3 linked regions of the Drosophila melanogaster genome follow. The protein of the gene in region 1 purifies or fractionates together with the protein of each later gene. This does not show direct contact. Each region holds a gene or a part of one and is shown in the gene's direction. Other genes may lie near its edges.

Region 1 (3,753 bases):
TTTTGTTGATTTCCGTGTACTTCTGGATGTTCTCTGCGTTCTTCTCCTGCTGCTCGATAAGATCAGTTTTCAGTTGGGTCAGCTCCAGTTCCATATTTGTCAACCTGAAAGAATAAGCTCACTGCAGGCAGGAACTGTATTGAAGAAGGAAGGTCTTACTTTTCCTTCAAGCTGATATTTTCCGATTTTTTCTTCAGCGAGTCCATGGCGATGGCTCTCATTTTCTTGCTGACCACCAAGTCTTTCTTCTTGAGATTATTTAGCGATTCGTTGTACTGCTTTATGAAGCTATGAATTATTATTCCCGTGTGGGGCGACAGCTTCTGAATATCTGCCCATAATTCTCCCTCGTTTTTGGGAGACTTTTTTAGACTTTTTGTTGAACTGTCTATGGTGGCTGCAAAAGTTTGGTCTTCCTGTGTTTTTTCCACAGCCTGAGAAGTTTGCGCTTCAATTTTTGATTGCTGAACTCTAGGAGCCACTAGCGGAGTTCTTTTTTTGGATGGCTTTTCGTTTGATCTTTCGAAAAGTTGAGTTTTTACATGATCCTTTTTCCAAACAGTTGGAATTTGGCTGTTTTTTTCTTGGGCAACTGTACCTGGTTTTGGGGCTTTCGAGTGAGCTGCATCCACTAACGGTGCTCCCGATCTTTTCTTGGCGCCCGTCATTTTGCCAGCTAAGCAGTTGTATTAGCGCAACTAATTTATAAAAGAAATAAATATATATTGTACATTACAAACGTTTTGTTTAGTTTACCTAAACTTTTACCAAGTGCGTCCTGCGTTGAAAAGCAACGGTAAACATTAGCTAGAGATGAGCTTGATGACCTACAGTATATTGTTGTTCACAAGAGGTGTGTGTACTGTCTAAATACTGACCTCACGGTATTTTCTACTGAACGCCCCTGGTTTTGCGTTGTCGCCCTGGCTACGATAACTATGTTACAATTTAATAATAATTCTATTTTGGTTGTCAACATTCAGTTTTTGCTAGCTCTATTTAGAAATTTGAGTGCTGCAAGGAATCTAAGTGGCATCAGAAATCTGATCACGACTACATAATGGCGGGATCTGGAGTTGCCAAGCAGATATTTGCCCTCGATTTCGAGATCTTTGGACGAGTGCAAGGTATGCAATGCATTTTTCTGATTCGGCTTGTTAAACAGCGTATTAAATTTTGCAGGTGTGTTCTTCCGCAAAGTAAGTACTGGGAGGCCTATATATATATCTGGAAATCAACATTTAACTTATGTACATTTTTGGCTTAGCACACGTCGCATGAGGCTAAAAGATTGGGAGTTAGGGGCTGGTGCATGAATACCCGGGATGGGACCGTCAAGGGACAACTGGAGGCTCCTATGATGAATTTAATGGAAATGTAGGTACCGCTGCACTCCACTAATTCAATCATTTAACCATCGCCCACTAATTTGAAGGAAACATTGGCTGGAGAACAACCGAATTCCCAACGCTAAGGTCTCAAAGGCTGAATTTTCGCAAATCCAGGAAATCGAGGACTATACGTTCACTTCCTTTGACATAAAACATTAAAAACGAATTATTAGCTCTTTCGTTGTCCATCCAATTCCGAAACAAAGTCTAAATAAATTACCAGGGCTGCAACTTGCGTAAGCAGGCATATCTGCATTGCTATCGACTGAGTCGATAACATTCGATAGTATGAACATAAGAAATATTACGTTTCGCAAAACTGAACCCAGTACTGAAGTACAACAATAAATAAATAATAAATTATTTAAAACAAGGCGGAAAATTATTCCGAGAATCGATAGTCGCTAGTCGAAAGTGCGCACCACTCCAGTATCTACTCGATATATTGCTATCACAGCCGATAGTTTGCAGCTCCCTGCCATAGACACTGGTCATCTCGCTCGCACACACAACAGTGGGCCGCGCCACCGCCATAGGCGGCGCACGTGCAAGAGCGAGACAACCAGCTGGGCGACAGCGCACTTTGGTCTGGCACAGAAACGAGTACAGCTTCGATACACGTCGTTTTGCCAAAAGCGTAGCAGAGCAGTCTAAGCGATGAAAAAAATAAATGAGGAAAAAAGTCCGTGAAGCGAAAACCGTAATTCCTACAGTGCGAGTCACGCCATTGTGTTTGCAAAAAATATTTGCCAATTGTGCTACGGGCAATTTTTCGGAACGGCCGAATTGTGCGTATAATGAAAAAAAATACTACTTAATTTTTAAGCAATTTACAAATTCTTGCGTGCTGCCTGCCTGCTGTCGGTGTGTTCTTGCTTGCATGTGTTAGTGAGTACGATTACTTTCGCGCTGAAAACCTTTTTCCACTGCCCTTTCGCTGGAATCTGGGCGAATATAGATAGGACACAAAGCACATATAACTGATTTTTACTGCAGAATTGATCGAGACATGTGGAATACAATAAATGAGATTGTGTAAATAACTGAATATAGTGGCGCATACAGTTGCACGTGTGTGTGTGCTAGCATGTGCGTGTGTGTGTGTAAAGGCGCGAGTTTCCGTTTGCCTAGGCTAATTGTAGTGGAAAAACTCAATAAACGGAATTACATAAAAACATGGTGGCATGATCGGCAGTTTCCCGCCGGCAGAAGATGCCCAATCTTGGAAAATTGTAATTTTCGAAAGTAACCGCAATGATTTCGTCAGTATGTAAAGTAGTCTGTCAGTCCCTGCATATGTTTGTGTGTGTGTGTTCTATACAGTTTTTTTTATTGCGCATCATGGTGTGCAATAGCGCGCTTTCTGACCTCTCTCTCGCTCTCATGGGTTCTCTTGTTGGCCAAAGCGACGCTGTGTGTGTGTTGTGTACGCATATGTAGCATATGTACATAACACGCCGGAAAAGACAAAAAAAAAAAACCATTCCAAATTTTGAAATCTTACGGAGGCGGGCGGTTTAAACGAGATAAAAAATAAATACACCAATATTGTTCTTTTATATGATAACGCAGTAGTCTCGGACCGAATAGTATGCCTTTATTTTGTCGTCCTAACGCTGAATTGCCGAAAAATAATAGCCCGTTTTTGGAAAATTCTCGACAGGATTAGCATAAAGAGACGCCTTAGGAGTCGAACGAACCAAATGCCGCAGCAGCCGGCCAACGTATTAGCATCAGAACGATGGCCCCAGCGCTCACAGCCGAGCCACTAAGTCCAAAGGAGAAGCTAACCAGCACCGCCTCGCCCTCGGCCCGCAGCTCCTCGGAAAGCGGAGGAGTTGGATGTGCAGTTGGCTTGGTCAAGAAGCCGGCAACACCCACGCCGGCCACGGCCACCACGCGGATTACCCGCTCATCAGCGGCAGCGGCCTCAGTTACCGCTTCCCCGCATCTACAACAGCAGCGATCCTCGCTAGCAATCAATAACAAGCGAAAGTCGGGCAACGCTAAAGCCAGCAATGAACCAATGGGGCTGAGCACAGCCCCGACTCCACACAGCACCACTTCACCAAATCCCTCGACGGATACTGCGGCAGCCTCCACCTCTGCCGTGGAGCACAACAATAACGACAGCAACAGTACCTCCGCCGGCAACAGCACCTCCGCCGACAACAGCTCCACGCCCAAGGACAACTCCACCGCTCAGCTACTGGCGGATCTAACCATCAACTTTGAGGAGACCATATCCGCGGAGATTTGCCTGAGGAAAACCCTACCCGATGTGAGTCTGGGGAAAGAGCCGGTTCCGCCTGCCTCGGTGCTGGCAGTGGCCACAAGTTCAACGAGTGCTGGCAGCGCTCTA
Region 2 (3,753 bases), on another chromosome or scaffold:
AAGTTCGCATGAAGCGGCACAGAGAGCCTATGACCAAGTAATTAGCAATACAATTGAGAGGGTCTCACACAACGGCCATAATAATGCTACGCTCGCCTTCACAATTATTAAGCATAAAACCAGATTTTAATTGATACAACTCATAACCACCGTTTCGAAACGAACTGTATTTTGTTTGCCCCAAATGCGTAGTTATGTGGAAGTTCGAAATATCTATCTATAGAAAGTCAGTTACATCCCACACTGGCCGCGCTGCTTTGAGGGCCCTGGGTGTGCATCAACCTGGTCAGACTTGGAACTTTGCTGGTAAACCAGACCGTCTACGCCGGGAATGGTGTTGCATCCCACGCAGGCGTGCAATGTGTCGTGAATGAAGATGTCGCAGTCAACGCAGAAGAACTGCTTGCAGAAACCGCATCTGAAGACGACTTTATCGGCGACCTTGTCAACGCCTTGCCCAAGAGCTTTGGCGCAGCCGTAACATTCCCTGACATCGCTGGTGAGGTCGGATGACGAAGCAGGCATCGCCTCAAACGGCAGTTCCTCAAAATTTGGCACCGGGAAAAGGTGGTGGTAGGAACGCGCCAAGTGCGGCGCGGAGACCAGGGTGAGGCCGCAAGACTGGCACTCCACGGGCAGCTCGCAGTACTTGCTGTTGCATTGCGGGCAGTGGTGGCCAGTAGTGGTCAGTTCACTGGGCTCCTCCAAGTTCTCTATGTGGCACATGCACATGGACAATGGCGCGTCCTTGCCCTCAACTTCATTCTTTGTGTGCGGGAAGCCCATGCGAATAAGCGAGTTGTGCTGAGTCTTAGCGGCGGGCGGTGGATCTACCTGAGACATGAGTTGATCCCGAAAATGTGCATCATCCAAAACAGCCCCGAAGGTGCCCATTGTTTGCTGAGTGAGGTAGCGGGCCACGTGAATCTCAGCGGACAGGGAAATAACCGAGCAGCGTATGCCCTCCTTTTTTAACTCGTCGATGGTGAGGTTAATATCGACAGGATCACATGTGGTGAGCGAGCCCATGATAATGACGATCTCTCGGGAGGCGTGCGACGGCACCACCTTAAGCGATTTTAGGGCCAGATCTAGGCCATTTTGCAGCGAAGGCTCGCTGGTCAAGGACACGTTAGCCAAGCTAAACAAAAAGGGGATATAAATGGAGAACGCTGGTTTGATTCGGTTCTTACCTCTCTAGCGCTTTGAGGTGCACGCGCGAAGTGCCGGTAAGTTCGGTCACCTTCTCCGCTCGCTTAGCTTTTAGCGCTATGAGTCCTAATTGGCTGATGGGGTTCTGATCGAAGAACTCCTCGATAAACAGCTCCAGCAGCTTGACGGTGCACCGCAGTCGTGTGGGTTTCAAATCAGGCACGCTCATGGACTCAGAGCAATCGAGCACAACGAACATGTGGCGCATCATGCCCAGGCGGTTCTGCTTGGACTTTTGAGCCTGCCTCTGGCGTTTGGCCTTCTGAATGATCTCTGCAATGGCTCCATCCAGCATCCCATCCTCGTCGTCCTTGATGGCCTCCCTAATAGGATTAAAAGTAAGTGCGGGCTTACATTGTCACGCACACCATCGCACCATGTCTTTTCATAGCCCGTTTCCCAGCGGTACTCCTTCTGGTCCTCTTGCTCATCGTCGGCCATACTTGCAGTCCTGATGCACTACCAAGTCAAATCAAGAAAGAAAAGCAATTAACGCTAAATAAAATGCGCCGGCTAATGTAACAGTGTGTACACACAGGGCCTACGTTAAATACAATACACTGGGTGGCAACCCTGGGTAAGTATTTATATCAATAAATATCTACAAAAGAATGACATAATAAAATGAAATAATAAAAAATAATTTCGAATTTCTTACCTAATATGAACAAAAAAAGTACAATATTATTATTATTGCGCCCAAAGTTGCCACATCAATAAATATACCCACCACGACGCGTAATTGGCTAACTAAGTGCACCGCCACACGGGCGAACTGAAAAGGGCGCTACACCCTAAGTTTGGGCACTTAAAACCGTGCAAGCATTGAAACCCGCGTTTTATATCATATACTATATTCGAAAAAACCTTCGAAATCTTAAAATTTACTGGACTGCAGTTAGTTTAAAGCTATCGACAGGCAATACACTCCCAGTAATATTAGGATTTAAATAGCTTAGCACAGAAGAGCATTCTAAGGTCCGCACAGCCGGAACCAAATCATCTCTGGACAATTTCCGTGCAGCCGAATTTCGCTTTTGGCATTCAGAGTTCGCGCGTACAACTGTGAGCAGCAGTGGAGCTGCTCGTGTTGAAAAATCGGGAGTCAGTTAAATTAAAATAACCGTTTGAAACAACATTCAGTTTGATATTTATCCAAAATTGTTTATGAAGGTGTGTACCAAAGTGTTCTAGAGAAATCTTTTAATTTAATGATATGTGGAATAGGCTTATTTGCAATCATACCTGGCCTATATCTAGTGCCTGCAAGGTTTAGCGGGCAAAATGAAATTGTGAACTTTGATATTATTTAAACTATATGTAATCCTTTTTTTTAAATGAAAACAAATAGGATCGAACCATAGGGTTTTATTTATTTTAATTTTTAGCTGTGTTGAAGTTCAAATGCATTTGTAACAGATAAGTTTAAGTAACTAATAAAGTCGCATTACGCATAGTTCGTGCTTTTCTGTGTTTTATTATATTATATATCTACAACAGTGCGGCAGGCTCGTTCTTTTCATAATGTACTTAGTGTTTTTTTTCGGCTGCCTAAGCGCCGCTGCATTTTGCCCATTGCAGATGTACATATGCTTGAACTCACCATATCGGACACACACCGCAGACAGCGACCGTTCGCGTTGCCACCTGGTTCAAGTTAGCACAAACACACCACGGCACTGTACTTTTTCTTCGCCGTTTACCAATATTTCAAAACCAAGCAATAACAAATAATAAGACTCCATTCAGCACTATTTTTAAGTCACACTTTAAATGCTCTCTTCAAAGGCTTGGGCGCTGGAGTCGTGAATAATGTTGGCACAGGAGATTTCACCTACGGAAATCGGCAAACACGCAAACATTATAAGAGGTGAGTGACTAAAAACATTGGTAAATAATTTTTATTGTTAATTTTGTGTTCTGCCCTGCAGCTGCACAGGAGGAATTGGCAAACATGGACGTTCTTGTATGTGGACGATGTCTCCGGGCCTACAACTTCGTGGAAGAGTTTCAGGCCCACAAAGAGGACGCCTGCGAAAAGGAAAATGCAAATTTGAAGGAATCGCTCGATCCCAAGCCCACCATCTGGGCTTTTACGCTATGGAAAGCTACTCAGCTGCACTCGCGCAAGGACGCGTCCGGCAGCTCGTGGGCCTTGTACCAGCATTGGGTAAAACTAGACGATAGCGTCCGCGAGCCGTGGATTGTGGCTGGGAAGACCATACAGTCATTCGGCAAAATTGCACACGGACAACTCCAGGACATGCCTGTGCGAATAACAAAGACTGTGGTCAATCCAAACAATAACAACACATCAAATAGCAACAACAACAACACGAGCGTCTCCCCTACCAGAAGTAATACAAAACATTCTAAATAAAAGTCACACTTGTTATTAAACTATATTTAAATCAACAGAATCACCAACCGGTAAGCTGCCTACGTTAGCCAATCAACTAAAGGATACAGAAAACGAAAGACCCAAGTCCAAGCCGAGTACACCAACGCCTTCCTCAGTTCCCTCTGCCGGAGCCGTGAAGC
Region 3 (3,753 bases), about 14 Mb from region 1:
CCAGCGAAATACCCAGTTCAAGTCAAGCGGCCCGTTTTGTTCATCAAGTAAGTAAGAGCTTTTCCTGTTTGTACAAAGACAATACAGTTTATGAAATAAATAAACGATTGAAGGAACGAATTTGGATTGTTTTTAAATTCCGCCCTGGTTTGCGCCACCGCTGATTGTCTATCATGGGTTGCAACCACGTGGAACTACAGTTATTTTTAGGCCTTTTTTCGCGCTTCGATGGTAAACACATTTTGTTTATTGCTTAGCTCTGAGAAACCAAGACGCAATAATTGACAAAATGTCCAGTATTTGGACAAAAAGGAAGGACTCTTTCTGCAATAACGAAAATATAAGGGCTCAGAAGTTCGAGGATGTGATTGTAATCGATGACAATGGTAAGTCGTGTGTTGTCAGCCTTCTCGATGCTAACTGCTACACTTGGTCCTTCAAGATCGTGGCGACTCTCTCCGGAGTGTAAAATCCGAGCCCCCTGAAGAAAAGCCCCGCTTATCTCCACAGGACGCTAATCAAAAACGTGCAGTAAAGGAGGAGAAGGAAATGTCCAGGCGCGCACGCGCTCGAGCCAAGAAAATACGGAATACAGAGGCAAGAGCAGCGAAATCGGTGGTTACCAGGGGTGCGGGTAAAAAAGCAAGGAAGCGTAAGAAGCAAAATAAAGCGGCACTCAAGAAGGCTAGTGAACTTGAACCCAAAAAGGCAAAGGGCTCCAAGGAGGCTAGTGCCCACAAGAAGGCAAAGGGACCCAAGAATACAAGTCCTCCTATGGCTGCGAAGCCCAATTTGGCAAAGAGTGACAACCTGACGATGGCCCTGGTGGACGAGCTCCACGAAGACGGCCGTCTGCTTAACGAAAGGTGGCAGGAGGTCGAGGCCCAGCTGGCGTACATGGTGACTGACAGAGTCATGGCCATGCCGGGGGGTCCCGTCCCGTCCTTCGATAGCTCAGACGTAGTTCGTGGCCACCGAGTGATCCGGTGCGAAGACGGATTTTCAAAGGTATTCCTGTCGGACTGTGTTGCCGCGATTAGCAACTCGTGGCATGACATGCGCATCAAGCTCGTCCATGTCAGCGATGTACCATTTGCGCCTCAGGCGCGCATCTGGTTGCCCACGGGTCAAACGGACCACAACCGGATCATGATCTGCTTGAGAGCCCAGAACCTAAATGTGGACATGTCGGACTGGTCCATCCTCAGGGCGGAGGAAGTCATGGAGATCAGTCAGAGTTTCCTGCTCCTTATCAACCGGAGGTGCATCCCGCAACTGGATGCAGTGGACTACAAGTTGCGCTATGGCATACGAATGGCCCAGATCCAGCTCATTTTAAGCGAAGCAGACGATTTGCCATCGGAGTTCGACAACTACCACCCATTTTGCCATTTTCCCCATTAAACCATAAATCCTCAGGCTCTAAGCTATGTTTATTAGAGTAATAATATTGTTAGAGAAAGAAACGAATTTCATAACCTAATAAATCTCCAATTGGTTTTAGATGCCAACTTAGACAGCATTTTTATCAAATTTAACCTTAATCTTAAGATATTTTTAAATATAGAAACTCAACATGGGAGGTGGGATACCCTCTTTTGGTTCATGGCGATGCTGACTGGTTGGCAAGCGTGACAACGTGTGGGGTATTTATGCTCTACTTTGCTGTGGTCACACTGTTTCCACAGCATTTTATTTCATTTCGCTTCGTCTGAAAAATCAGAGAACAATTTCTAAAAAGCGGCAAAAATCTTGAAAGGACGATGTCCAGCTTTTCGCCAAACCAATTGCGGCAGTGCGCCCGCTTCACCGGCACGCCCTGCACTCCGGACAAGGAGCACCAGCTGCGGGAGCAGATCCACAGCGAGCTGGTCAAGATTAAGTACTGCGCCAATCCCACCTACGAGTGCAGCCTGATGCGGATCGAGGGCTACGAGTATTGCATCCGACACATCCTGCGCGACCCGCGCTCCAACTTCCGACAGTGCTCGCACGTCTACTCGAACGGCAGGAAGTGCATCAACGCGGTGGCCAAGTATGACAACAAGAAGGAGCTGATCCTGACGACCCTCTGCTTCGAGCACAACCGGCAGACGCAGCTGCAGAAGACGCACATGAATGTGGGCCGCATTCGCAGCCGGGTGGAGACCAACGAGACCCTGCTGCACAGCCTCTCATCGCACATTAATGTGGAGGACATAAAGCCAGAGGTGAAAAAGATCGAACGCGATGATGATGAAATCGATGTGGTCTCACCCCACGTGACGCCATTTGGTATGTCTTGCTGACTATAAACCGAGCTGAAATCTAATTTTCCTCACTTCTAGTCACTCAGGATCACCGCAATTCCATAGGACATGTTGTGGAGAGCTCTCGCAAGCGACGTCGCATTTTGGATTATGCTTCCGATAGTTCCAGCAACGATGCAGATCCGCCCTGTCTCAGGAACACCGCCCAGGACATTGAGTTTTACGAATCTGACCATGAGAGTATCGATTCGGAGGATGATGATCCTTTGAAGTAAGATTTGATTTATTCGTAGCACTATTTTTTAAGGAAATTTTAATTTTTTCTTCTCCCTTGTAGACACGCTGGCGTCTTTACACGCGCAGAGGCAGTAAAGATTGCCGAAACGAAGCTGATCAAGCTTCAGGGTCTTTACCGCGAGCAGATTTCATATCTGCAGAACGTGCTGAGGCAGCGACGTCGCAAGTATTTGCACGATATACGACGCGAGCGAGAGCTATATTGTAAGTTTCACTTGCCTTTAGGTATGCAGGATAATGTGTCTTATGCCACACTTTCAGGCAGCATTCACGATCAGCTAAAGGACACGCCACACGAGCGAAAGCTGTACGAGCAGCTAAAGGCGCTGAATAGCTATCATCGACGCCAGGGCGTCGAGGCGGTGCTCTACAAGAAACTGAAGGAGAAGCGAGCTCGCGACGCCTTGTACGCAGCCAAGTCGTCGAGCAACCCGAAGTGCGTCTTCACCGAAGGCGGTGTCAAGTGTGGTGAGCGAACGCTGCCCTGCTGCAAGCACTGCCGCAAGCACATTCTGGAGGATAAGCGCCAGGTGCTGTTCCGAGCCTGCGGCGTGGAGCGGAGTGGGGTGGTCTGCCAGGAGCCAGTGGCTAGCATTCTCGAAGACTCCAGTTGCGTACTGCACCTGACCGTGGCGCCGGCTAAGCGCCAGTATATACAAAAGGTGCGTTGATCAAACACTAACCCAACCCACGCCATAACCACCACAAGTAACTGCTTATATATTCCAACTGTCCACTCACCCATTGCCATAAGTTGTGTTGCACATGACTGCTGAAACTATAGTAAGCCAACTGTAAGACAGTTCGAACAAACAATACTGCGTAACTAGTATTTAGGCTTGATTTGTAGTAAAGCTAAGTATATCTAGAGAAACAACACGAAACACATGTATATAAGTGCTAGTACTGTCTAAGCAAGCCCTTTGTGATCGACCCTGAATAAATTGCCGACCTCTCATCCCCCAGTTTTATGAAGTTCCCAGCACTCCGCCGGTAGAAAGTATTTTCGCAGCAGGCCGTGGTCTCGATAACTTTGTCGGAGAAGACCCACGGAATGAGCCGCAGCCGGAGGGGGATGACCTCTTGGATTTTGCCAATGGTATATTCGATTTTGACCTTGACGGAGTTGACGATCTGGCAAACTCCCTCGACGATGATTACTCCATGTTCCTGGACATGGACAGTGACCTGGGCTTAGCCATTGAAG

What was found.
Region 2: the proteins of nsl1 (region 1) and Chro purify together in Drosophila melanogaster (affinity purification with western blotting; 2 studies listed by BioGRID, with this or other methods). This does not show direct contact.
Region 3: the proteins of nsl1 (region 1) and dgt1 purify together in Drosophila melanogaster (affinity purification with western blotting; 3 studies listed by BioGRID, with this or other methods). This does not show direct contact.

The regions. Positions count from the first base shown.
Region 1 is NT_033777.3:15,791,775-15,795,527, forward strand, and holds the start of nsl1 (non-specific lethal 1), read left to right. Parts: upstream 1-2,007; 5' UTR 2,008-2,279; exon of another isoform or gene 2,280-2,426; intron 2,427-3,054; 5' UTR 3,055-3,132; coding exon 3,133-3,753. Other genes in the region: c(3)G (crossover suppressor on 3 of gowen), read right to left, coding at 1-104, 160-668; Acyp2 (acylphosphatase 2), read left to right, coding at 1,061-1,127, 1,183-1,199, 1,268-1,377, 1,436-1,550.
Region 2 is NT_037436.4:22,877,266-22,881,018, reverse strand, and holds the start of Chro (chromator), read left to right. Parts: upstream 1-2,034; 5' UTR 2,035-2,385; intron 2,386-2,793; exon of another isoform or gene 2,794-3,000; 5' UTR 3,001-3,024; coding exon 3,025-3,082; intron 3,083-3,143; coding exon 3,144-3,569; intron 3,570-3,630; coding exon 3,631-3,753. Other genes in the region: Ssl1 (suppressor of stem-loop mutation), read right to left, coding at 232-1,141, 1,194-1,535, 1,589-1,653.
Region 3 is NT_033777.3:29,855,408-29,859,160, reverse strand, and holds the start of dgt1 (dim gamma-tubulin 1), read left to right. Parts: upstream 1-1,669; 5' UTR 1,670-1,763; coding exon 1,764-2,274; intron 2,275-2,327; coding exon 2,328-2,520; intron 2,521-2,586; coding exon 2,587-2,750; intron 2,751-2,807; coding exon 2,808-3,208; coding exon of another isoform or gene 3,209-3,217; exon of another isoform or gene 3,218-3,512; coding exon 3,513-3,753. Other genes in the region: CG7824 (uncharacterized protein), read left to right, coding at 290-386, 443-1,404.